Linked DNA regions of Callithrix jacchus. The protein of the gene in region 4 purifies or fractionates together with the protein of the main gene of each other region. This does not show direct contact. Links are inferred from orthologs where the notes say so. Each region holds a gene or a part of one and is shown on either strand. Other genes may lie near its edges.

Region 1 (3,500 bases), on a different chromosome or scaffold from region 4:
ACCTCCGCCTCCCAGGTTCAAGTGATTCTCCTGCCTTAGCCTCCCTAGTGGCTGGGATTACAGGCATGCACCACCACACCTGGCTAATTTTTTTTTACTTTTAGTAGAAACAGGGTTTCTCCATGTTCATCAGGCGGGTCTGCAACTGCTGACCTCAGGTGATTCACCCACCTCAGCTTCCCAAAGTGCTAGGATTACAGGCATGAGCCACCGCACCTGACCTGGCTCCTAAAGTCTTAAACTGAAAGTCCAGTTCAACAAACTATAGGACTTATTGTCAAGCAATCTAGTAAGACTCTTTCATTTGAAACATAACAGCTGTCTCAAAAGGCACTTGCTGAGGGCTTCCCTAAACTAGATGACAGTATTTTATCAGATCCAACAAAAAGACTGTCACTGGCAGCCCTTGCCTCTTTCCACACCCACAGCAAGACGCCCTATGGGACCACCTTGAGAACAGTCAACTCTCAACTCTTCATGCCAAGAAGTTGAGGAGAACAGAGGAATAACTTTTTGGCACAAAGTGCTCATCAAAACAGAAAAACAGCTTAAACCCCAAACCCACACAATCCTTGGCAGATTTTCTCTGCATACTCCTCCACCCTAGCAGCATTTATAACATTCATGCACACCCTTCCACACACTATGGTTACTTAACCAGAAATTACCTAACTCTTTTTTTTTTTGGAAACGAAGTCTTGCTCTGTCACCCAGGCTGGAGTGCAGTGGTGACATCTTGGCTCACTGCAACCTACATCTCCTGGGTTCAAGTGATTCTCCTGCCTCAGCCTCTTGAGTAGCTGGGACTACAGGCATGTGTACCATGCCTGGCTAATTTTTTTTTTTCTACTTTTAGTAGAGATGGGGTTTCACCATGTTGGCCAGGCTGGTCTCAAACTCCTGACCTCAGGTGATCTGGCTATCTCAGCCTTCCAATGTGCTGGGATTACAGGCGTGAGCCACCGTGCTCAGCCAATTACCTAACTCTTAAGGGCACCATGTTGGATTCCAAATACAGTTGTATGCAATTACTTATTGAATAGTTTTACTTCCCTGCTAAAGCTCCACTGGAACTTCAGAAGAAAAGAGCATGCACTTGCCTAACCTAAACCTCTACCAGCAAAGGAAGCTCCAAATGGGAACTCTAAGAAACATTAAAGGGTGTAACAAGGGTTGCCCTGAGCCAAATCTCCAAATGGCAGCTTGAAAAGCCTCACTGGCCAACTGGGAAACATCTGGTGTCCAGATATTATAGGAGGGGCTATTCAACTGCATCCCTGAGCTCCAGTGAAATAAGCGTGAAGTACAATGGAATTAGCATAACAACAGCTGGAAAGAAAGAGAAGTTACACTTTCAGGATCAAGAAGTTAATCTGAAACCAGAACTTGGTTTGCTGGAGCTTCTTTAAGAACAAAGACAATCCTCTTTCCCCACAACAAATCCACCAGAGGCATACTCTCTGGCTATTTAAGCAGATTTGTTCTCCCTCCCAACTTCCAAATTTTATTTCTCAAATTTGAACTCATCTTCCTGTTAAGAGCAAATCACTCCTAGACTCCTGGGTTTATTTTTAAATGCTTACAAAAATATGTTTTGGAGGAACTGCATCTTGTAAGATCTATTTTAATGTCTGTGACTGAGTCACCAAACGTTGCTGAAGCTGGCATAGCTCCTTTGAACTCCTAGGGGTCAGTTCACATGAACTTAAACTATGACATAACAAAACAGTTGGACCCCAATTGTGCCCACTCTGGAGGTCACAATGAACAGACCCATTCCCAAAGCCAACAGTATCATATGGACGTGGAGTTATCCTATGAGTACTATCTCTGGCCTAAGGTAAGATGGCCACAAAAAAGAACAGGTATAACAGGGCATGCACAATGGCTCATGCCTGTAATCCCAGCACTTTAGGAGGCTGAGGTAGGCAGATCACTTGAGGCCAGGAGTTCGAGACCAGCCTGGCCAACATGGCAAAACCCCGTCTTTACTAAATATGCAAAAATTAGCTGGGCATGGTGGCACACGCATGTAATCCCAGCTACGTGGGAGGCTGAGGCAGAAGAATCGTTTAAACCCAGGAGGCAGAGGTTGAAGTGAGCTGAGACTGCACCACTGCACTCCAGCCTGGGCAACAGAGTAAGACTCTACCTCAGATAAAAATAAAAATAATAAAAATAGGTAAACTAAGTGATCTAGCATGGTGCCTCACACAGAGAGATTCATATTAATGAGTATGCCACAATGGGTCGGGGCAGGGGTGGGAGGACAAAAACAACCACCCCATCCCAACTATCCTCTCACCAAAACCAGAAGAAAAAAAAATGAGAAAAAATTGATTCTGAAAGTATGAGGTAACAAATCCAGTGAAAGCCCTAAATATATGTAAAATGCCCAGTGTAGTGGTTCCCCAACTTGTCTGCATATTGCTAATACCTGGGTATCTTCAGAAATATTGATGTCTATTCCCAACCCCGTATATTTCCATCTACACTGGAGATACCCAATAACAGGATTTTGAAAAGCTTTGCCAGATGCTTCTAACAGAGTTTGGAAAGTGCTGGCCTAATGAAACCTTCCACCTTAGGGCCGATGCCACACCCACAGATGTACACCATTCACCTTTATTTTCTATCTTACCTTCATAACAATCTAAGCGACAAGGTGCGAGCCGTATGGCCTCCCGAAAATGGATTATTGCTTCTTGGACTCTGCCCATGTTCCTAAGTGCTGCTCCCTTAAGTAGCAAAGCTTGAACACTATTACTGTTCAGCTGAATGGCCTTGGCTCCTAAATAGAGGGCCCGAGAGTAGCGTTTGCTATAGAAGCTGTGACAACTGGAGAAAACAAAAACAAAAACAAAACCCAGAAGTTATCCAAAAGGACTACAAAGAAACTTCATCCAAAAATCATACTGAAGGTCCTGTACATAATCCTTATTCCAAACCCAAACTTACCATGGTTTTTGCTTGTTTGCTTTTTTTGAGACAGAGTCTCGCCCTGTCACCCAGGCTGGAGTGCAATGGCATGATGTCAGTTCACTGCAAACTCCACCTCCCAGGTTCAAGCAATTCTCCTGCCTCAGCCTCCCGAGTAGCTGGGACTACAGGCGCCTGCTACCAAGCCTGGCTAATTTTTTTGTATCTTTAGTGGAGACAGGGTTTCACCATGTTGGCCAGGCGGTTCTGGAACTCCTTACCTTGTGATATGCCTGCCTCAACATCCCAAAGTGCTGGGATTACAGGCGTAAGTCACTGAGCCCAGTCCCACACTTAGTTTTAACCTAAGCTATTAATGGAAAAGCAAAACCAAAAAATCCACTAAATATTTCTTTTTAGAGGGAAATCTTAATATGGAAAGGAAAAATTATGGAAAAGAACCTACAATCTGGATACTAGTTATTAGCAGAGAGGCATTTGGAGAATTTGTAAAGCCAGGTTAGTAACAAAGGAGCATCTTCTGGTCCTATCACTGATGGCCCAGTACTAAGCACAATACA
Region 2 (3,937 bases), on a different chromosome or scaffold from region 4:
AAGAAAGCCTCATGTAGTTTGATATGCCCAGTTAGACTGTGCTGGCTACATGTTTCATGTACTATGACCAGAAATTCAACACTAAAGCAATATCTTTCAATCTTTTATCCTTAGATATAAGAAGCTAAACTGGCCAGGCTCAAGCTAAATGGTGGCTCACGCCTGTAATCCCAGCACTTTGGGAGGCCAAGGTGGGTGGATCACTTGAGGTCAGGAGTTCAAGACTAGCCTGGCCAACATGGTGAAACCCCATCTCTACTAAAAATACAAAAACTGGCTGGGCACGGTGGCTCACGCACTTTGGGAGGCCGAGGCAGGTGGATCACGAGGTCAAGAGATCAAGACTACCCTGGTCAACATGGTAAAACCCTGTCTCTACTAAAAATACAAAAAATTAGCTGGGCATGGTGCCGTGTGCCTGTAATCCCAGCTACTTGGGAGGCTGAGGCAGGAAAATTGCTTGAACTTGGGAGAAAGAGGTTGCAATGAGCCGAGATTGTGCCACTGCACTCCAGCCTGGGCAACAGAGTGAGACTGCCGTCTCAAAAAAATTTTTTTCCAAGCCAGGCGTGGTGGCTCATGCCTGTAATCCCAGCACTTTGGGAGGCTGAGGTGGGCGGATCACCTGAGCTCAGGAGTTCGAGACCAGCCTGACCAATATGGTAAAACCCTATCTTAAAAAAAAATTTTTTTTCAGGTAATTTTCTTAACTGGTTTTAACTAAGTTTAAAACAAACAGAGCTTCAAAATGCAGTTCATTGCAATTTCAAAGCATCCTCCTCTACATGACCTACCTTTCCTTCACAGGATAGGACACCTTTACACATTTGATATTTAATATAAAGTTATTGGTCTTGAGCCTAAATCTTTTTTTCTTTTCTAAAACATCCTGTTATAACATTTTTTTTTCTTTGAGGCTAAATGTTAATTCATCTTCTTAACCACTCCCTGAAGAGTTGCATTCTTCCTGTTTTATTCATTTACATATTCCAATGTTACGGGCTTATTATTTAGTAGCCATATTAGGCAGTTAAAAAAAAAAATTCAGGCCGGGCACTGTGGCTCACGCCTGTAATCCCAGCAGTTTGGGAGGTTGAGGCGGGCGGATCACCTGAAGCCAGGAGTTCAAGACCAGCCTGACCAACATGGTGAAATCCTGTCTCAAAAAAAAAAAAAAAAAAATTCAAGAGAATATTCTATGTTTATGAGGATAAATTCTGCGAGATAGCTTGTTCTTGGACAATAAAACCTTTGGTTCAGGCAGCTACTACTTAATATCATTAACAAAGAAAGTAATATAAGAAAGTCGTAACAAAAGCATAGATTCTGAAGTCAGACAGCCTGAGCTTGAATCCCATATGAGCCACTTACCTGTGTGATCCTGACATAACCTTTCTAAAGCCATGACCTAAATAGTAGAGGTGATAATATCTACCTCAGAGAGTACATGTAAAGATTACGTGAGTTACTGCATGTAAAATGTTAGGCAGAGCTTGCCTCATGCTAGGCACTCAATAAATGATATTAATATTACTATTTATTTGAATGTTCTTGCATGTGTCAGTGAAATAAGGGACAGAAGAAATAACAAGACTCTACAATGTTAAGAATAAGTTTACCAAAATAGGCTCAGGCGAAAGTTTTTCTTCTTTAACAGGCTCAGGTTCTGGCTCTGGCACTGGCTGGGACACCGGCACTGGCCCCAGCATAGGTACCTTTTCCAGAGGTTTTGGTAGTTTTTTAGCAATAACTTTTCCAGTAGCTGAAGGTTTTCCCTCCTGTGTAGATGAAACAGAGAGAATGGAATATTTCTGCATCAAGGACCACAGCTGGAAGGCGGGCTCTTACATTAGTTAGGTCAGGAAGAGGGCTACCTTTTTCATAGGCATTTTGGTCTGTAGCTGTTCACTGACTTTGTTACCAATGTCCCCAAGAGCTGTTCTTGGCCTCAGTCCGGGCTTGGAGGTTGCAGCAGGGGCCATAGGCACGCGCTTTGCGCCTGCCATACTGATCTTCGTCGTATTTTCAGCATTTATTTTCGAGTTCTGAAAGAAGCAAGACTACTTTAAGAGCTGGTCCACGGAAGCTCGAGTAAGTCAAGGGTTAATTAAGGTGGGGCACAAGAGAGGTTCCCAGAAGGAAAGCCGACTAAATATGGGTTCCAAGGGAAAACGTGGGTCCCAGAGTGTACTCTGCGGCCGTGACAAGTCAATTTCCACCGAGAACCTCTACATTTACCGATAGAGGGATTTCCTAATTAGTCCTCGCCAGCCCTAAAATACTGAGAATTTACATTTGAAAGGAAACCGAAAAAGCCTCCAGTTGCTGATTCCATCTCTCTGGAAAGTGGGTTACGCAGTTGCTGGCGGGCCCACTCAGGAACCCTCCATAACTTTTTCAAAAGGTTCCTAGACTCTCCACCTCCCCCAAACATTTATCCAATGTCCGTCCAGGTCTCTTTCTCACCTTCCTCCCTCCGTCCATCGTCCCCCACACCCCCCACCAGGCCTGGGCCCACCTCGGTTCTCTTGGTGACTCCCCTCCCACCTTCCTCCCCAAATCTCTCCTGAAGCCCTCTCCCGCTCGGGGGGCTCCAGCAGGCAGCTGCGAGGAAGGCCGCGTTAGTTCGCAGTCCGCAACGGCTCACCCTGGTGACTCGGAGCGCCATGGCTTCCTCTTCACCAGGCAGCAGCTCAGCGGAAAGAAGCAGAACACCGGAGTCCCGACCAGCCGAGGACCTGAACCCACCAGAAACCAACAACCGTTCCTCCGCAGCAGGCCGGGAAGAGCCGGCCTAACCTAAAGTTTAAACCCCGCACTGCTCCCTCCTTATTGGCCTGTTCGTGGCACTCGCTAACTTCCCATTGGCGGCTGCCGCTCCCGGAGAATGCGTTTCCAGGGCGATCCCGAGATTGCATTCGAGAGGGGCGGGGTCAGAGTGACGCTAAGGCCGGAAGGCGTGGCCAGGTTCTCACGTTGTCTGCCTCCGCGCCTGCGCTCTCGGGCAGCTGCCGCGGTCACCTGGAGAGCCTAGCAACGCGTGCGCCGCCTACCTGGAAAGCGGGGGCGCGGGGGGGGGTGCGCTGCCCGTGCCAGATCTGGGAAAGCCTGGTGGCCTTTGGAAGGTGACAGTGGCGCGCGGCCACAGTCTCAGAAGTGTCCAAAGTAGTTTTGGATCTAGTCCAAATTATTGTTACACACTTTCCATTTCTACGGTAGCAGCAATAATATAGTTCATGAAAGGCTTTGATATACGTTCTTTCATTTGATAGTTGCAACAACTCTATGGAGTGGAGGAACTGAAGCTCAGCGGCTTAGATGACTTTGCCAGGATCACACATTAGCAAGCGAAGAACTGAATTTAGGGGTTTTTTGAGGGGAGGGAGGATGGGTATTCGTATTATTTTTGCAACACTGGTTGTCCCTTAAGAATGTCACCTTCCAATCATGAGGTCAGGAGATTGAGACCATCCTGGCTAACACAGTGAAACCTTGTCTTTACTAAAAATGCAAATATTAGCCGGGCATGGTGGCAGTTTCCCATAGTCTCAGCTACTCGGGAGGCTGAGACAGGAGAATAGCTTGAACCCAGGAGGTGGGGGTTGCAGTGAGCTGAGATCGCGCCACTGCACTCCAAGCTGGGCGACAGAGTGAGACTCTGTCTCAAATAAAAAAAATAATAATAATTTAAAAAGTCACCTCCCAGCTTCTACTTACTTGATTACTTCAAGACTGGCCAGTTTCCCAAGGCCAATTGTTTTGTTTGTTTTAGCTTTCTATTTGGAAATAATATCATACTTAGACCAGTTGCCAACAAAAATCTTGTAAGGAACATTTCTATATCCTTTACACAGATTCACCCATCCTTAACCTGTATTTGCCTCTCATGAGAAGATCAGGAAAAACAAAATAAAATACATTTAATCCCATTTGCTTT
Region 3 (3,500 bases), on a different chromosome or scaffold from region 4:
ACACTAGTACCAATAAGAAAAATAATATAAGTCCATTATAAATACACATTTTGATTCACAGCATAAGTGACACACTGATTATACACCTTATCTAAAATAAGTAAAAATGAATACCAGAAGTAAAGAAAAAAGTTTGTTTACTTTTTATAATAATGGAACTTCCTTAAGGAAAGAGAAAGAGGTAGGCTGACCAAGAGCAGCCAATTCAGATTCTGTTTCTGTTATATAAATAGGTAACAGACTGTTTATATTAGTAATGTAGTAATAAACAAAGTTTTAAAGAAGTAGTACCTGGATGAGTTTGAATTTGAACGTATGCATGAGCCAGGAGCTCAGGAATGGATATCCTCTGTTTAGGGTCCCTTATTAAACAACACTATATAAACAAAAAAAATTTTAAAAGAAAAACAAAGCAGATTTTTACATATGATATTGATGAAATATTTTTCCAGATTATATTATAAAAGTTGCTTTTTAGATATCCCATTCAAATAATGACAAGATTATTTCTCCCAAGGCACTTCTGCAAAATCTCTAAGTATTTACAAACTTTAAAACATCTTCAAAGTAAAAAACTAATTCAGTTAGCAATTCTTTTGAATAGAATAGTTATATCTAAGCGAGTTACATAACACCAATCATTTCAGCTATTTCTTTTAAGTAAATAATTAGTTATATGAAATTAATATTACCTTTAACACATCTTGAAGATCTATCTCTGGAATATCAGGAAATTCAATTTCATGATTTGGATCAATTATGGCATGCAATTTAGAAATCTGATTAATTATATGCTGAAATGGTGTCTTGCCATAAGTCATATAGTACAAAATACATCCTAAGGACCAAACATCACTTTTGGGACTTATCTATGGAAAAAACAAACACAAAAAAGTTGCTGTTATTTTAATATAAAATGTAAAACACATATATGAAACATATATATGTATATATATACATTTAAAATCATAATTAAATCTCCATGAATGCCTGAGTACATTATGTTAATATGACAAAACATCTTTTACTAGTTTTCATTTCAGTTGGTTTTTCCATTAACAGAGCTTCTCTTTAAATCCTTCTATAACCTCATAATTAAAATATTTCAATTTTAAGACAAAATATTAAATTCTTTCCAACCTGGGAAAATATAAAACTAAAAAATATAACTATAGTTTTAAGGTTACTTGTTTTCCCCAGAATTATTGGAAGTTCAAAGTATGTATACAGTTTTAATGGCTGTTTAAATTACGCAACCCTTCAGACCTTTGGAAATAATAAATAAATAATACAAAGATTGGAGAAAGATTTACCAACCAAATGGAGAGCAAAAATAAATAAATAAATAAATAAAAAGCAGGAGTTGCAATTCTCGCCTCTGATAAAATAGATTTTAAAGCAACAAAGATATAATGGTAAAAGAATCAATGCAACAAAAAGAGCTAACGATCCTAAATATATACGCTCCCAATAGAGGAACACCCAGATACATAAGACCTATGAATAGACTTAGACTCCCACACAATAATTGTGGGAGACTTCAACATCAATATTAGATAGATCAATGAGACAGAAAAAAAATTTTTTTTTTTTTTTGAGACGGAGTTTCGCTTTTGTTACCCAGGCTGGAGTGCAATGGCGCGATCTCGGCTCACCGCAACTTCCGCCTCCTGGGTTCAGGCAATTCTCCTGCCTCAGCCTCCTGAATGGCTGGGATTACAGGCACGCGCCACCGTACCCAGCTAATTTTTTGTATTTTTAGTAAAGACGGGGTTTAACCATCTTGACCAGGATGGTCTCGATCTCTTGACTTCGTGATCCACCCGCCTCGGCCTCCCAAAGTGCTGGGATTACAGGCTTGAGCCACCGCTCCCGGCCGAGACCTGGAACAAGTAAACTTAATAAATATTACCAGTACCACATCACACCTACTCACAGGTGTAAATGAAATATCGGTTGGCCATTATTAAGCACAATTATTGGCATAAAAGAGGTTTTCAATACCCATTTTTAGAATAAAGCAACACTCCCGTTCTCTTTCCCTCTTTCTCTTCCTCTTTCTTCCTTTCCTTCATTCCTTTTTTTTTCTTTCTTTCAAAAAAAAAGAGAAAACAGGACCTAATTTGGAATTGGAGGCTGTGAATTTAAGTTCTGATTCAGCTACTTCTTAGTTGTAATATTTTTAGACATCAGCAAATTTTCTGGACTTTATCTGGAAATTGAAGACATTAAGAACATCTGCTTTCCTACCTCAGTGAGGAACTGAACTACTATGGATGTCATTGGAAGCTGTGAATTCTCTGTTGTTAGAGTTATGAGTCCTGGCTTTGAATGGGAACACTGTGGTCTTTGTTTATGGTTTATTAATGTTGGGTCTCTTAGAACCATGGCTCTGCCTACACTGGCAGGCCAAATAGTAACAGTAATGGCAACAAACAACCCCTTGTAGAAGAAAATGTCTATAAGAAGGGCTGGGTGCGGTGGCTCAAGCCTGTAATCCCAGCACTTTGGGAGGCCGAGGCGGGTGGATCACGAAGTCAAGAGATCGAGACCATCCTGGTCAACATGGTGAAACCCCGTCTCTACTAAAAATACAAAAAATCAGCTGGGCATGGTGGCGCATGCCTGTAAACCCAGCTACTCAGGAGGCTGAGGCAGGAGAATTGCCTGAACCCAGGAGGAGGAGGTTGCGGTGAGCCGAGATCGCGTCATTGCACTCCAGCCTGGGTAACGAGAGTGAAACTCCGTCTCAAAAAAAAAAAAAAAAAAAAGAAAATGTCTATAAGAATAAAATCAGAATAGCTCAACATTTGTTGAGAAGCTTCTCTGTGCTAGAACTAGGCTGTGTGCTCAGAATCGCCTCACTTAGTTCTTAACAACAACAAAAAATAAAAATACAACTTTAAATCCAAATGCATATACTATAGAACTATGCTGAGCTTGTATTCTGGTTTTGTCACTAACTGGTGGTACTATGTGTATATTTCCTCACTTCTGATACAGAAATAATAAAAGTACATTGTCATGGGCATCAAATGGTAAACCATAAATATGGTTAATCATAGGGGAAAGTTTCTGGTTATTATAAGTACTCAAGTTGTAAAGCAAATGAAAATAGAATTGATAAATGAAGTCAAGAACTGCATATCGTATTTAAGATGAACAAACTCATGGAAAGTCTAATAAAAAACATAACAAATCTAAGTTTTAGAAGAGGAGTGGAGGCTAAACAAATACAAAAATAATTTTATGAAAATATTTAGCAAAATTTTATGCCAGTTATTTCAAAAACATTTAAAAGCTAGATTTTCTAAAATGGAAAATGTAATTTAGTAAATAAAAACTCATTTATCAAGTAATGATTCTAAACTTAATAAATGTGCTAAGTACCTTATATATTCTTTCCCATTTTTATCCTCCATTTATTTTACAATAGGCACTGTCTATAAACCTAATTTAGAGACAGGCAAACTAGGCAAGTACTTGGCCATAGACAGTTG
Region 4 (3,500 bases):
ATTGCAGCCTTCACCTCCTGGGTTCAAGTGATTCTCCTGCCTCAGCCTCCTAAGTAGCTGGGATTATAGGCTCCTGCCATCACGTCCAGCTAATTTATATATTTTTACTAGAGGCAGGGTTTCACCACATTGGCCAGCTGGTCTGGATCTCCTAACCTCAGGCGATCCACCCACCTTGGCCTCCCAAAGTGTTGGAATTACAGGTGTGAGCCACTGTGCCTGGCCCCATGGCTTAGAATTTTTTTTTTTTTTTTTAAGATGGGGTTTCACCATGATGGCCAGGCTGGTCTTGAACTCCTGACCTCAGGTGATCCACCCACCTCGGCCTCCCAAAGTATTAGGATTACAGGCGTGAGCCACTGCCCGGCCGGCTTATAATTTTAATTAAAGCCTTTCACCAAGTTTTCTGGAACAAAGGCATCTCATCAGAATTTATCTTATCAGAAATTTCTCTATCCTCTTCCTTAAAAAACTACATTCTTATGAAGCAGATAAAACAGTACTGGTTACATATTCAAACACAAATTGAGGGCCCAGGTAAAAATTAGCAATGAATTTGTCAAAGTCATACAGCAAACTGGATCCAGAACAGACTAATTACCTGACTCTATATGCATTTCGTTATTACATCACCCTGTTCAATTTCCCTAAATTTGGTATAATGAAAACACCATGGTTAGAAAAATAAGAGTATCCTACAAATCCTTATGCAAAAAGGTAACTTTCTAAATATTCAAAATCACATGTATGATACTTACTGATCTGCTCTTCTTGGGTTATTGGCTCCTCATCATCTGGAAGATAGCGCTTATCAATTGCCTCTTTAATCTGGTTATTGGCTCCTTTAGGATCTAAATCCATAGCCCAAGAGAAATTCATCAGGGCGAGGTGCGTTTGACCTAACTTCTTGTAAACCTAAAAATAAACAGCAGCACTACATTTTTCATTAAGTTGTGAGCTTCAACTATAAAGTTCTAAATATTTATTTATTTAATTTATTTTTTTTGAGATGGACTCTGTTGCCCAGGCTGGAATGCAGTAGGCACAATCTCGGCTCACTGAAACCTCCACCTTCCAGGTTCAAGTGATTCTCCTGCCTCAGCCTCTTGAGTAGCTGGGATTATAGGTGCCTGCCACCAAGCCCAGCTAATTTTTGCATTTTTAGTAGAGTCAGGGTTTTGTCATGTTGGCCAGGCTGGTCTCAAACCCTTGACCTCAGGTGATCCACCCACCTTGGCCTCCCAAACTGCTGGGATTACAACAGGTGTGAGCCACTGCGCCTGGCCCCTAAAATTCTAAATATTTATAATTTATATTAGGCTCCTGGTGTACGTGCTCTAAACTCATTCTAAGGGTAGAACACTTTCATCTTACAGATGAACTCATACTAGCTTTTGTTTTCCTTTTAATATAATCAGATGTTATTTTCAGAATTTCTTGCTTCTATCAGGTAATAAGTTTCCAGTAAATATCACTCTGACTGGAACAATGATAATGGGATTAAACGAATAATAAACTGCTTAATTAACTTTCATTTATGGTGATTTTAAATGGAGTTATATATATAAACTCTTAACAACTGTCTACAGGCACCTTAACTAATTGGCATCTGGGGGGGCCAGTCTGTAAAAAACTGACTAGTCTGGCCTTGGGAATCTCAGAAGCCATCTTTCCTAATCAATACAACACAGTGCCATTAATGTTCTTCTTATTTATTTATTTAGACAGAATCCTGTTCTCTCGCCCAGGCTGGAGTGCAGCAGTGCAATCTTGGCTCATGGCAATCTCTGCCTCCTGGTTCAAGTGATTCTCGTGTCTCAGCCTCCCGAGTAACTGGGATTATAGGTGAGTGCCACCATGTCCAACTAATTACATATATATATATATATTTTTTTTTTTCAGACAGAGTTTCGCTCTTGTTACCCAGGCTGGAGTGCAATGGCGTGATCTCAGCTCACCGCAACCTCTGCCTCCTGGGTTCAGGCAATTCTCCTGCCTCAACCTCCCGAGTAGCTGGGATTACAGGCACGCGCCACCATGCCCAGGTAATTTTTTGTATTTTTTAGTAGAGATGGGGTTTCACCATGTTGACCAGGATGGTCTTGATCTCTGGACCTTGTGATCCATCTGCCTCGGCCTCCCAAAGTGCTGGGATTACAGGCGTGAGCCACTGCACCCGGCCAATTTTTTATATTTTTAGTAGCAGTTGGATTTCACTATGTTGGTCAGGCTGGTCTTGAACTCCTGACCTCAGGCAATCCACCTACTTAGGCCTCCCAAAATGCTGGGATTATAGGCATGAGACACCATGCCCAGCTAGGATATAATTTTCTTAAGTGTTAAGAACTAAATCTGTTATTCCCAGAGCACTCAGTTTGGAGTTTTAGTTGAATTTGCTCAATAGATACTATACAGTAAGTATATTCATTCTTATAAAATATACAATGTCAATATTTGCTATGAAAGTCACAGTTTGGGACCATGGCCCCAGTCTTTACCTTTCCTATTAAGAAGTAAACGAGGGATTCTTTGGGAACAATTTGTTTCAATTCTTCAAGTTCTTGTAAAGCAGACTGAAAAAGGCAAAGAAAAACCTTAAAGTAGCAAAATGTTTGGAAGTTTTGACCAAGCAAGTATTTTTACTTATTCGATTTCCCAAATCATCTTCATAAAAGCTAACTAAATCTTTTTTTTTTTTTTTGAGATGGAGTTTCACTCTTGTTACCCAGGCTGGAGTGCAATGGCGTGATCTCGGCTCACCGCAATCTCCGCCTCCTGGATTCAGGCAATTCTCCTGCCTCAGCCTCCTGAGTAGCTGGGATTACAGGCACGTGCCATCATGCCCAGCTAATTTTTTGTATTTTTAGTAGAGACAGGGTTTCACCATGTTGACCAGGATGATCTCGATCTCTTGACCTCGTGATCCACCCGCCTCGGCCTCCCAAAGTGCTGGGATTACAGGTGTGAGCCACTGTGCCCGGCCTAAGCTAACTAAATCTTAACCAATATACTTCCTTATTGCATCAGTTCTTATTGTTGTGAAAATAAATGCATACTTATATGACAATAGGTACTAAGAAATGGCAGGTACTCTAGTACACTAAATGCACACACACACACACACACACCCCTTTGTGAAATACACAGATGGTGACAATTCTTGCTTTTTGATTATCTATCTACCTATATATCTATCTATCTTTCTACCTACCTACCTATCTACCTGTCAGTCAGTCTATTTTTATTTATTGAGATAGAGTCTTGCTCTGTCATCCAGGCTGGAGTGCAATGGCATAATGTCCGCTCACTGCAACCTCCGCTTCCTAGGTTCAAGCAATTCTCCTGCCTCAGTCTCCTGAGTAACTGGGATTATAGGTTTATGCCACCATACCTGCTAATTTTTGAATTTTTAGTAGAGATGGGTTTTCGCCAAGTTGGCTTGTCTCCAACTCCTGACCTCAAGTGATCAGCCTGCATCAGCCTCCCAAAGTGCTGGAATT
Region 5 (4,013 bases), about 50 Mb from region 4:
ACTAAAAACACAAAAATTAGCCAGGTATGGTTAGCACATGCCTGTAATTCCAGCTACTCAGAAGGCTGAGGAAGGAGAATTGCTTGAACCCAGGAGGCAGAGGTTGCAGTGAACCAAGATCACCCCACTGTACTCCAGCTGGGCGACAGAGCGAGACGTTGTCTCAAAAAAAAATAAAATAAAAGCCGAGTCCTGGCTCAAACCACTCAACCATAAAAAAGACATTTGGGGACAGCTGGTGAAACAAGAAGCAGGAATGACTGTGAAACTGCCAGATGTACAACAGTGGTGGGTAAAAAGACACATGGCTGAAGTGTGTGGGAAGATGCATCAGATATAAAATTTTAAATCATTAGTCATGGCCGGGCGCAGTGGCTCACACCTGTAATCCCAGCACTTTGGGTGGCCGAGGTGGGTAGAACACGAGGTCAAGAGGTCGAGACCATCCTGGTCAACATGGTAAAACCCCATCTCTACTAAAAATACAAAAAATTAGCTGGGCACGGTGGTGCGTGCCTGTAAATTCCAGCTACTCAGGAGGCTGAGGTAGGAGAATTGCCTGAACCCAGGAGGCGGAGGTTGCGGTGAGCCGAGATCGTGCCATTGCACTGCAGCCTGGGTAACAAGAGCAAAACTCCATCTCAAAAAAAAAAAAAAAAAAATCACTAGGCACAAAAAATAAAGCTAATATGGAAACATGATTTGCCGTTTTTCAATGTGCTGGAAAGGGAATGCCCTTATTCCATTCAACTTTTTTTTTTTTGAGATTGAGTCTTGCTCTGTTGCCCAGGCTGGAGTGCAGTGGTGCAATCTTGGCACACAGCAACCTCCGCCTCCCAGGTTCAAGTGATTCTTCTGCCTCAGCCTGGAGTAGCTTGGATTACAGGCCACCCACCAACATGCCCGGCTAATATTTATGTATTTTCAATAGAGACAAGTTTTTGCTATGGTGACCAGGCTGGTATCAAACTCCTGGCCTGAAGCAATCCACCCACTGGCCTCCTAAAGCACTGGGATTACAGGTGTGAGCCATAAGGCCCAGCCTATGCCATTCAATTTTGAGACCTTTCAAGTAAAAAGTTTAATCTCTTTTTAATGCCATGTATTTCACAGCTGAGTTTCATCTTATCAAATGCAGTGAAAGGATCTTTATACTGACCTGGGTTCCAACCACCTGGCTTTTTTTCTATCAACTTTTCTTCAAGAAATGAAAATGAAAATGTGGGGCCGGGCGCATTGGCTCACGCCTGTAATCCCAGCACTTTGGCAGGCCAAAGCGGGCAGATCACCTGAAGCTGGAAGTTTGAGACCAGCCTGACCAACATGGAGAAACACCATCTCTACTAAAAATACAAAATTAGAAGGGTTTGGTGGTGCATGCTGGTAATCCCAGCTACTTGGGAGGCTGAGGCAGGAGAATCCCTTGAACCTGGGCGGTAGAGGCTACAGCAAGCCAAGATTGCACCATTGTACTTCAGCCTGGGAAACAAGAGCAAAACTCCATCTCAAAAAAAAAAAAGGAAAATGTGGGGATTTCCTGCAAGTATATTTAACAGGAGCCACTGAGGCTAGTCCAGCAGGCAGACAGCGGAAGGGACACTCACAGTCGGGGCAGCAGCCATTAAACGCCATCCTGCAGATGCCACAGTTCTCATCGTTGGCCACCCAGAGCCAAGTGGCCACGCCATTCCAGCACTTAATCTTCACCTTCATGGCAGCAGAGCCTGTACCCGAAGGGAAGAGGATGACAGGCTTAATTTAGTCTGCAGAACTAGAAGATTTAGGCACCAAAATAGGAATAAGCCTGGCACAGTGTAGTCTCAGCTACTCAAGGGGCCAAGGCAGGAGATCACTCCAGCCCAGGAATTCGAACCCAGCCTAGGAACATCGTAAGCCGTTTCTATTTTACTTTTCTTTTGTTTTTGAGACGGAGTCTTGCTCTGTCGTGTAGGCTAGAGTACAAGGGCGCACTCTTGGCTCACTGCAATCTCCGCCTCCCGGGTTCAAGCCGGCCTCCCAAAGTGCTGGGATTACAGACATGAGTCATCGCGCCCGGCCCGACTAATTTTTTTTTTTTAAGAGACAGTGTCTCACTATGTTGCCCGGCTGGCCTCACTGAGCTCAAGCAATCCTTCCACCTCGGCCTCCCAAGCAGCTGGGATTACAAGTGTGCAATGGCACACCCGACTTTCGACTTTTTTTTTTTAGATATGGGGGTCTCACTACGTTGCCCCAGCTGGTCTCAAACTCCTAGGGTGAAGCGATCCTCTTGCCTCGGCCTCCCAAAAAGTTTGGAGCACAGGCGTGAGCCCCGCGCCGGGCCCGTACCAAAACTTGTAAAGGATATGACTAGCAAATGTGAGATTGGAGACTTCGAGGTTGCAGGTGGAGACCAAAAACCCCGGCTCAAAAACCAAAAAGCAACCCGCAGCAGGTCTGCACCGGCTGCAGCCCGCTGAGGCCACTCCCGCAGGATCCCGCCCCGAGCCAAGCGCACAGCCCTCGGGCGGGCGCAGAAACAAGGACCCCCGCAGGTTCCCGGACACCCGCCGCGCCCGCAGCGCCCCCAGCCCTAGCAGAAGGGCGGGGCAGGCGGGGAGGGAGGGGAGCGCATGCCCCACTCCCAACGACCGCCGCCCAACCCCCTGCGGCCTCGCACCTTCGCCAACCTAATCACGCACGGCTCTGCCCGCCCTTCCGTTGGCAGCGCTGACGTCCGCGCGGGAAGGTATAAAAACGACCACAGTCACGGCCCGGCTCCCTCAGCAGCGCCCGCCGAGTCCCGCGCGGCAGTGCGCACGCGCTTCCCCGTCTCTCCCCGTCCCGCGCGCGCTGCGGTCCGCAGGCGGCCAATCACTAGCCGCTCCGAGGCCGTAGCACCGGAAGGCCTCACGCGGCGCCGGAGGTGACGTGCTGGCGTGCTGACGCGCGGGCTCGAGCCGATGCCCGATTCCGCGCCCGCCATGGCCGACAAAATGGACATGTCTCTGGACGACATCATTAAACTGAACCGGAGCCAGCGAGGAGGCCGCGGCGGGGGCCGGGGCCGCGGCCGGGTCGGCTCCCAAGGCGGCCGCGGCGGCGGGGCGCAGGCCGCCGCGCGAGTGAATCGAGGCGGCGGGCCTATCCGGACCCGGCCGGCCATCGCCCGCGGCGCGGCCGGCGGAGGCGGGAGGAACCGACCGGCGCCCTACAGCAGGGTGAGTGTGGAGGCCGGCCGCACCGGAGAGGGCAAGCCGGGGAGGCTGGCGGCGAAGGCCGAGCCCGGCTGGCTGATAGGGCTGGTGGAGCGGCCGCCCGGAGGTCCGGAGGGTGCGTGTGGGAGGGCGCATAGGGGGTGGTGGGCGGGGGCGAGGTCGTTCATTCCGGGCCCGGCCCGGAGGCTGAGACCCTTTTCAACCCTTTGTTCCGGCCGCCGGGACCTCGTGGCGGCGTGAGCGGAGGGGTAGCTGAGCGCGGCAACAGCGGCGGGAAGTTAGTGGAAGGGAACTGAAGTTGTGCTGCCGCGGTGGGACCGTGCGGCCTCGTACCTGGGGCTGCTTTAGCGGCCGGAGGGAGCGCTGGCGGCCTCATCTCCGCCGGATCCTCTCAGGCCGGGAAGAGGAAGGGTCCGGGGTCGCCGCGAGGACTGGGAAAGCCCTGGACTGAGACTCACAGGTCTGCTGTTGTTGTGGTTTTTCCTTCAGCCAAAACAGCTTCCTGACAAGTGGCAGCACGATCTTTTCGACAGTGGCTTCGGGGGTGGTGCCGGCGTGGAGACGGGTGGGAAACTGCTGGTGTCCAATCTGGATTTTGGAGTGTCAGATGCCGATATTCAGGTAAGAGACTAAGGCTTCTCGGTGACCCGTTCGCCCTGCACAGGACGGATCATATTTTGGGGGATGTGGCCCTGAGTCCCCTTCCCGCCTTGGCAAAGGGAGCCCTCCCAGCTCTGAAGGGCTGCAGGACAGACCTAGCGCCAGTAAAGCCAGGGTCAGTCCGCAGGCAGGTGCGAGCCTAGCCTAGCCTGAGGA
Region 6 (4,077 bases), on a different chromosome or scaffold from region 4:
GTTTAATGCGTGGTAGTCATTCCATAAAGCTTGAACTGAATATGCTTTAATTTGCATGGATGCTCAAAAAAATTGAACGCAGTGAGAGACGACAAACAGTGTAAACCTTAGACTAGGAATTTGTCTTCATCATATTTACATTAATGCACATAACTCAAACAGCAAACAAAAACAGAGACTTCATTGGTCTGGCGGCCCATGTGGAAAAATATAACAGTATTATTAATTCTTGGCTTCTAGATATTACTGAACAAATAGAAAACTCAATTTCCCTGCTTCACAATGCTTAACATTAAAAGATGTTTTGGCCAGGTGCGGTGGCTCATGCCTGTAATCCCAGCACTTTGGGAGGCTGAGGTCAGGAGTTCGAGACCAGCCTGGCCAACATGGTAAAACCACATCTCCACTAAAAATACAAAAATTAGCTGGGCATAGTGGCATGCACCTGCAGTCCTAGCTACTCTACTCAGGAGGCTGAGGCAGGAGAATCGAATCGTTTCAATCTGGGAGACAGAGTTTGCAGTGAGCTGAGATCGCACCACTGCACTCCAGCCTGAGCAACAGAGCGAGACTCCATCTCCAAAAAATTAAAAGAAAAAATAAATAAAAAGATGTTTGAAAAGTATCTAAATTCTGATATACTTACAGGAGACATATAATAAGGTGTGCCAACAAATGTTTTTGCAAAACTCGTGTCATGATTTAATATTCTAGCTAGCCCAAAGTCTCCAAGCTTGACGTTCTGCTTGCCGTCCAGGAAAACATTGGCTGGTTTCAGATCCCGATGCAACACAGTATGACCACCATCACTTCGTCGGTGGCACTCCTTCAGGGCCAAAGTCAACTGAGTCATCACTCGTAGAACAAACTCTTCATCTAAGTATTGCCTGAAAGCAAAGCAATCATATAGCACATAACTTCTAAAAAAATCACTGCAAAAAGATTAGCTAGTGTACAAATAGAGAAATAAATTAGCTAGTGTACAAATAGAGAAATAAATTATTGATTGATTGATTGATTGATATTTTTCAAGATCTTTCTCTGTTACCCAGGCTGGAGTACAGTGGCACGTTCATGGCTCACTGCAGCCTCGACCTCCCAGGCTCAAGCAATCCTCTTGCCTCAGCCTCCCAAGTAGCTGGGACTACAGGCACGTGTCCCCATACCCGGCTAATTTTTGTAGAAACAGGGTCCCATTATGTTGCCCAGGCTGGTCTTGAAATCCTGGGTTCAAATAATCCTCCTGCGTCGGCCTGCCAAAGTGTTGGGATTACAGGTGTGAGCCGCCACACTCAGCCTATAAATTGTTATTTTGCTATAAAATATGGGTGTTGATTCTCTGGGAATTTTCTAAAGTCCTATGGACCTACCAAACAAATACAAGTCCACTCTTCCATATTACTGATCCTAAAACAAGATGTTTAAAACAAATGAAACTAGACCCACCCATTTTCAGCTACATTTTTAAAAGATTGCATTTACCTTTCCTTGGTTCCCTTTGTAATTACACTAGCCAGATCCCCTCCTTCGCAATATTCCATTACAATGTACAGTGTTGTGTTGGTCCGGTCAATAATCCGATCATAGTAACGAACAATGTTTGGATGTTTCAGTTCACGAAGCAAGTTCACTTCAGAAACAAGCATCTGTTTCTCAGCTTCTGTCATGGAGCCATAGTCAAGTTCTTTCCAAACTAATATCTGAAAAAAGAATTTCCAAGATATGAATGAACTCATTATGCCCAAAAACACAGAATGAAAGTTCCAAGATTTAAAAAATGACCTCCCTTTTAACTATATCCTACAATCAAAGTCATTATCTAATTTAGTTCAATAAACTTAAGGAGCTCTGAGTTTACTTCCATAATCTTCCTCTAATTTTTAAGCAGTAAATGATGCTGCGGGAAAATAAGGGAAGAATGAGGCACATGAGGCCTTCCCCAACCCCTATTCTCAGTTTGTTAGTGGGAAGTCGGCAAAAAGGTACTTGAGTCAAAATGGGGTTGGAGGTGGTCAAAGTCCCTGCCCCATTCCACCCAGGGCGAGAGAACTTCATAGGGATTCCTCCGTCAGCAGCCAGGCAGTTTGCTGTCCAGTGTTACTTTCCGTAAAAGGTCTACCTACATACAGTGGGAAATATGAATCCAATAATCGAATAATGGGTGCTTTGAGTGAATCTGACTGCAGATACAAAGCTTCGGGTTCTGGTGGTCCTGCCCCTTTCTTGTGTCTCAGAGGCCATTCTTAGAGCTCTAAAAACACCTCAGGTGTTAGCTACGTGTCACCAATGGAAGGCCCTTAGCAAGCCAAAGCAGGAGAAAGAGAGGAATTGGGAGACAAACGGGAAAAGATGGAAATATGTATAAATGTGTATCAAACGACGCAGTCTCCCATCCTTTAAGCGACCCAGGACAGGCTGTCAGATGCAGACCCAGGAAAGACAGCTGAGTCTTCCGGGAACCCACTTCCCCAGCCCTCTCGGTTCCCTTCGGCGGCGCAGGGTGGTCGCCCCGGGGCAATGAAACCTAAGCAGGGGCGGGCACAGGGAAGGGCCCACGCTCACTTTGCCGTCACTCTTTCTCCGGATCTTCTGGCAGCGGCCATAGGAGCCTGTGCCAATCGTGTACAGCACTTCATAGTCCTCAACCCGGGACGGCATGGCCGGGCCAGTCGCCAGAGTCGCGCTGCCTCACGCAGTTGCGTCCCCAAGTGCGGAGCTCCAGGGATCGGGAGCTCCAACGACCCGAACGGAGAAACCCCAGAGTAGCACTAACCCGCTGCCCCTTCCTTTGGCCCCGTTTAACCGTCGCGGGCCATGGCCTCGCAGGCTATTGGCAGGCGTTGAGCCCGCTTCGCCTCTCTGATTGGCTAAGAAGAACACAACAATATCCTAGGCATCTTGGGAAAAGTGTCGCTAGGCAACCGCGTCGGCGTCGGCTTTTAACCTCTGGGGAGAAAAGGGAGGAGCTAAACCAAAGGGAAGGCGGGAGAAAGGAAGTGGTAGCTGCAGCCTCTCGGCAACTCCAGCCCCCTGGTAGAGATCGCCAAGGTAAGCAAGATCTAAGGACCTCCCCTCAGACTCCTTTGCACACCGCTTCAACCAACTGTCTTCTGACCTTTGCACTCTGATTCCTCACACCACCTACTCTCCCCGGCACAACGCCCTTCTTGCTCCAGGTTCCAGCACCCTGAACCTGAGGTGGGATCACGTTGAGGAGATGCTGAGGGCTGAATACAAATCAGAAATAGTCTCCCCGCCGAGCGCGGTGGCTCACGAACGGTGGGAAGCCTAGGCGGGTGGATTGCTTGTGCCCAGGAGTTCCAGACCAGCCTGGCCATCATGGCAAACCTCGGCTATACTAAAAATACGAAAATTAGGCCAGGCGCTGTGGCTCACGCCTGTAATCCTAGCACTTTGGGAGGCTGAGGTGGGCAGATTGCTTGACGCCAGGAGTTCAAGACCACCCTGGCCAACATGGCGAAACCCCGTCTCTACTAAAAATGCCCCCCACCAAAAAAAGAAAAACCAACATGGTGGTGCATGCCTGTAATTCCGGCTACTTGGGAGGCTGAGGCATGAGAATTGCTTGAATCCTGGAGGCGGAGGTTGCAGTGAGCCGAGATTGTGCTACTGCGCTCCAGCCTGGGCCACAGAGCAAGGACCCATTCTCCAAAAAAAAAAAAAAGAAATGCAGTCGGTCTCCGACCAAGCACTTTACACGTCTTGTCCCGTTTATGTGTGCCAAACACATCATTAACCCTGTTGACAATGCTTCGTAGAACACAGACTCTCTTTTAGGCACCCAAACAAACCAAGGTTCTCAGCTTACCTAGCCAAATGAACAGCCCCATGTTTACCAGGGAGGGAGCACCTAGAGGCCTCCATCCAGGGCTTATTGGGGGAATATGTACATTACCAGAAAGCTAGTCATTTGGCAGTGCGTAAACTGCCAGTTTTCTTTAAATATCTGTTCAGCATAGGATTGAAAGAAACCTGATTTTCTATTAATAAGAATTAAAAAGCTCTTTATGTTAAAAAAATAAGGGACTTATTACGTGCACCGAATATAACGTAAGA
Region 7 (3,500 bases), on a different chromosome or scaffold from region 4:
CAGGCAGTAATGATTTCTTGGAGCTGTTAAAATTCAATGAATGAATAATGGCATGTGAAGAAGGAGGAGGGTGTCCCTGGTATGAGGAATAACTTGAATAATGGTTATCAAGGTGGGAATAAGCTTGTCTATGTAAAACGGTCAGAGGCCTGCCCACCTGGGAATGGAGGTGCCCTGGGATTGGTAGGATGGGAGGTTCTGGGGATGGAGTGGGGCCTGGTGAGGGACGACTGAAGAGCTAGGACAAGATCTGGATTGGGTCTGGTAGAAGGCAGTGGGGATCCATGACTGTTTCTGAGCTGTAACATTTCCTCTGTATTTTCTCTTAGGTTCTCCAGTTGCTACTGGAACAGGGACGCTTCTGCTGATCCTGTCTGATGTGAATGACAATGCCCCCATACCAGAACCCCGAAATTTGTACTTCTGCGAGAGGAATCCAGAGCCTCAAGTCATCAACATCATTGATGCAGACCTTCCTCCCAATACATCTCCCTTCACGGCAGAACTAACACATGGGGCGAGTGCCAACTGGACCATTGAGTACAATGACCCAAGCGAGTACCTGAGCTTTATTTTGGCAACTGTGCTGTGACTGCCATGCTTTCCTTCCCCCAGATCCCCACCTCTCAGTTTCTCTTCTCAACTTCCAAATGCCACCCCTTCTGTTGATACTTGTTTCCTTGTTCATTCTGTCTTTGAGGCCTTACTCCAAAGGTCTCTTTCCTTTCTTGGTATCTAGCTTTGTAGCATGCTACCCAGTAATATAAAACCCAAGCAGGGCTCCCTCTCCCAGCCTCTAACCACCCTCCAATCTCCTCTCCACTTGCAATCTCCGGGACTGTCTTCTCTGCCACCTCCCGCTCCTGGGACGAAACAAGGCCATTTTTGTGGTTAGCTCCTTCTTGCCGATGAACCATGAACTCCCAGATTGTCAGAACTATTCCACCGAGGTGGAGGCAGCTGTCGACTGCCTGGTCAATTTGCATCTGTGGGCCTCCTACATCAACCTCTCTCTGGGCTTCTATTTCCACTGTGATGATGTGGCTCTGGAAGGCGTGGGCCACTTATTCCACAAATTGGCCAAGGAGAAACGCAAGGGTGCTGAGTATGTCTTGAAATAAACGCAAAACCAGTGTGGTGGCCATGCTGTCCTCTAGAACATCCAGAAGCCATGTCAAGATGAATGGGGTAGGCTGGGCACAGTGGTTCACATGTGTAATCCCAGCACTTTGGGAGGCCTAGGTGGGTGGATCATGAGGTTGGGAGTTCGAGAACAGCCTGGCCAAGATGGTGAAACCCCTCTCTACTAAAAATACAAAAATTAGCTGGGAGTGGTGGTGTATGCTTGTAATCCCAGTTACTCAGGAGGCTGATGCAGAAGAATCACTTGAACCTGGGAGGCGGAGGTTGCAGTGTGCAGAGATCATGCCATTACACTCCAGCCTGGGTTACAAAGTGAGACTCTGCCTCCAAAAAAAAAAAAAGATGAATGGGGTAAAACCCTGGACACAATGGAAGTCGCTCTGGCCCTAAAGAAGAACCTGAACCGAGCCTTTTGGATCTTCATGCCCTGGGTTTCATCCACACAGACCTCCATCTCTGTGACTTCCTGGAGAGCCACTTCCTTGATGAAGAAGTGAAACTCATCAGGAAGATAGGTGACCCCCTGACCAACCTCTGCAGTCTGGCCATTCCCCAGCCCAGGCTGGGAGAGTACCTCTTTGAAAGGTTCACCCTAAGGCACAACCAGGAGCCTACTGAGCCCAGCAAATCTGAAGAGCCACTCTCTGCCTGAGTCTCTCCCTCCAGCCACTAGTCAGCTTTTTAACCTGCCCTAGAGCCCTCTACCAAGCCTTAGACCAAATGGAAATAAAGCTTTTTACAGCCAAAAAAAAAAGAGTAGATACCTAACTAAAACCCAAGCAGCTCTGCTCTCTTTGCTCGGCTTGCAAATGTCTTTAGGTCACTAACAATTTTATTGTGGAACGAGCTTTTTTCCCTCTCTCTCTCTCCCTCCTGGTCTCATCATTTCTTTTTATTGCTTCCCCCAGCCCAAGAATCTCTCATTTTGAAGCCAAAGATATACTTAGAGGTGGGTGAGTACAAAATCAATCTCAAGCTCATGGATAACCAGAATAAAGACCAAGTGACCACCTTAGAGGTTCACGTATGTGACTGTGAAGGGACCGCCAACGTCTGTCGAAAGGCACAGTATGTCGAAGCAGGATTGCAAGTTCCTGCCATCCTGGGGATTCTTGGAGGAATTCTTGCTTTGCTAAGTAAGTCCAGCTGGCAAGTGGCTCAGCCTTTGACTTAAAAAAAATGGAGGAGGGGCCGGGCGCGGTGGCTCAAGCCTGTAATCCCAGCACTTTGGGAGGCCGAGGCGGGTGGATCACGAGGTCAAGAGATCGAGACCATCCTGGTCAACATGGTGAAACCCCGTCTCTACTAAAAATTACAAAAAATTAGCTGGGCATGGTGGCGCGTGCCTGTAATCCCAGCTACTCAGGAGGCTGAGGCAGGAGAATTGCCTGAACCCAGGGGGCGGAGGTTGCGGTGAGCCGAGATTGCGCCATTGCACTCCAGCCTGGGTAACAAGAGCGAAACTCCGTCTCAAAAAAAAAAAAAAAAAAAAAATGGAGGAGGTTTATTTCCTGCAAATGATATTTGTTCTTATATTAGTTAGGGTATGGTTTTTAGCCAATATAGGAAAGGGACTTCCAGGCTATGCTGGCCTACATTGAATAGAAGTTTGTCTCTTACCAAATGGTTTGGAGGTAAATGGTCTAAGATGGGAGGGAGGGCAACCCTGTGCCATGAAGTCAATAGGGGACCCAGGTTTCTTCTATCATGTTTATTTTCATCCTTCAAGTCAGTACATCCCAAGCTTGAGTGCATGCAAATCACATGGGCCTCTTAGTAAACTGGGAAATCTGATCCAGGAGGTCTGGTGTGGGGCCACAGATTCCACATTTCTAACCAGCTCCCAGGGGGTGCTGATGTTGCAGTTCCTTAGACCATAGGCAGAGTAGCAAGACCTTGGGGGCTGCCCCAGCATGGTCTAGGCTAGCCAGCTCACCACCACCACCACCTCTATATTCCATCCTAGAAGGGGGAAGGGGATGAGAGAGGAAGTGGAGGCCACACGACTGGAGGCAATGTCACCTCCGCTTATATACCATTGGCCCAAACAGAGCCACACCTAGCTGCAAGGGAGCCTGGAAGCTTCTACTTGCAATTGAAAATTGCCATGGAGTAGGGATGGGTGTAGGGTGAGCAATGAGTGAGTGTCAATGACTAAAAGGATAAAGGAGAAAAAGGATGCTGAGGAAAATTGGCAGATTCTGCCATAGTCCTTAAACCTGTTTCCCTTGGAGCCCACCTGCAGTGACCCCTCAGGGTGACACAGGTGCTGTTATGGTCAAGGCGAATTCTTTTGTCATTCACACACAGAAAATACTGAATCTATTAAAGGAATAAGTTAGTTATGAAAACAGATT

Evidence for each region.
Region 1: the proteins of CDC27 (region 4) and ANAPC7 purify together in Homo sapiens (affinity purification with western blotting; 23 studies listed by BioGRID and IntAct, with this or other methods). This does not show direct contact. The link is inferred for Callithrix jacchus from reciprocal best matches to the Homo sapiens genes CDC27 and ANAPC7.
Region 2: the proteins of CDC27 (region 4) and CCNB1 purify together in Homo sapiens (affinity purification with western blotting; 6 studies listed by BioGRID, with this or other methods). This does not show direct contact. The link is inferred for Callithrix jacchus from reciprocal best matches to the Homo sapiens genes CDC27 and CCNB1.
Region 3: the proteins of CDC27 (region 4) and TTK purify together in Homo sapiens (affinity purification with western blotting; 3 studies listed by BioGRID). This does not show direct contact. The link is inferred for Callithrix jacchus from reciprocal best matches to the Homo sapiens genes CDC27 and TTK.
Region 5: the proteins of CDC27 (region 4) and anaphase-promoting complex subunit 11 purify together in Homo sapiens (affinity purification with mass spectrometry; 8 studies listed by BioGRID, with this or other methods). This does not show direct contact. The link is inferred for Callithrix jacchus from reciprocal best matches to the Homo sapiens genes CDC27 and ANAPC11.
Region 6: the proteins of CDC27 (region 4) and NEK2 purify together in Homo sapiens (affinity purification with mass spectrometry; 6 studies listed by BioGRID and IntAct, with this or other methods). This does not show direct contact. The link is inferred for Callithrix jacchus from reciprocal best matches to the Homo sapiens genes CDC27 and NEK2.
Region 7: the proteins of CDC27 (region 4) and CDH1 purify together in Homo sapiens (affinity purification with western blotting; 4 studies listed by BioGRID and IntAct, with this or other methods). This does not show direct contact. The link is inferred for Callithrix jacchus from reciprocal best matches to the Homo sapiens genes CDC27 and CDH1.

Annotation. Positions count from the first base shown.
Region 1 is NC_133510.1:113,289,502-113,293,001, forward strand, and holds part of ANAPC7 (anaphase-promoting complex subunit 7), read right to left. Parts: intron 2,839-3,500; coding exon 2,642-2,838; intron 1-2,641. UniProt on the Homo sapiens protein: Component of the anaphase promoting complex/cyclosome (APC/C), a cell cycle-regulated E3 ubiquitin ligase that controls progression through mitosis and the G1 phase of the cell cycle.
Region 2 is NC_133503.1:140,376,152-140,380,088, forward strand, and holds the start of CCNB1 (G2/mitotic-specific cyclin-B1), read right to left. Parts: upstream 2,801-3,937; 5' UTR 2,793-2,800; coding exon of another isoform or gene 2,669-2,792; coding exon 2,648-2,668; intron 2,046-2,647; coding exon 1,875-2,045; intron 1,779-1,874; coding exon 1,620-1,778; intron 1-1,619. Other genes in the region: uncharacterized protein LOC118151518, read left to right, coding at 2,667-2,792, 3,009-3,125. UniProt on the Homo sapiens protein: Essential for the control of the cell cycle at the G2/M (mitosis) transition.
Region 3 is NC_133505.1:85,475,991-85,479,490, reverse strand, and holds part of TTK (dual specificity protein kinase TTK), read right to left. Parts: intron 870-3,500; coding exon 693-869; intron 377-692; coding exon 292-376; intron 1-291.
Region 4 is NC_133506.1:86,999,626-87,003,125, forward strand, and holds part of CDC27 (cell division cycle protein 27 homolog), read right to left. Parts: intron 2,574-3,500; coding exon 2,499-2,573; intron 916-2,498; coding exon 759-915; intron 1-758. UniProt on the Homo sapiens protein: Component of the anaphase promoting complex/cyclosome (APC/C), a cell cycle-regulated E3 ubiquitin ligase that controls progression through mitosis and the G1 phase of the cell cycle.
Region 5 is NC_133506.1:137,489,908-137,493,920, reverse strand, and holds the start of anaphase-promoting complex subunit 11, read right to left. Parts: upstream 2,801-4,013; 5' UTR 2,670-2,800; exon of another isoform or gene 2,660-2,669; intron 1,725-2,659; 5' UTR 1,714-1,724; coding exon 1,605-1,713; intron 1-1,604. Other genes in the region: ALYREF (THO complex subunit 4), read left to right, coding at 2,943-3,200, 3,687-3,818. UniProt on the Homo sapiens protein: Together with the cullin protein ANAPC2, constitutes the catalytic component of the anaphase promoting complex/cyclosome (APC/C), a cell cycle-regulated E3 ubiquitin ligase that controls progression through mitosis and the G1 phase of the cell cycle.
Region 6 is NC_133520.1:16,824,881-16,828,957, forward strand, and holds the start of NEK2 (serine/threonine-protein kinase Nek2), read right to left. Parts: upstream 2,801-4,077; 5' UTR 2,659-2,800; coding exon 2,563-2,658; intron 1,701-2,562; coding exon 1,483-1,700; intron 888-1,482; coding exon 647-887; intron 1-646. UniProt on the Homo sapiens protein: Protein kinase which is involved in the control of centrosome separation and bipolar spindle formation in mitotic cells and chromatin condensation in meiotic cells.
Region 7 is NC_133521.1:26,357,249-26,360,748, forward strand, and holds part of CDH1 (cadherin-1), read left to right. Parts: intron 1-329; coding exon 330-554; intron 555-2,051; coding exon 2,052-2,279; intron 2,280-3,500.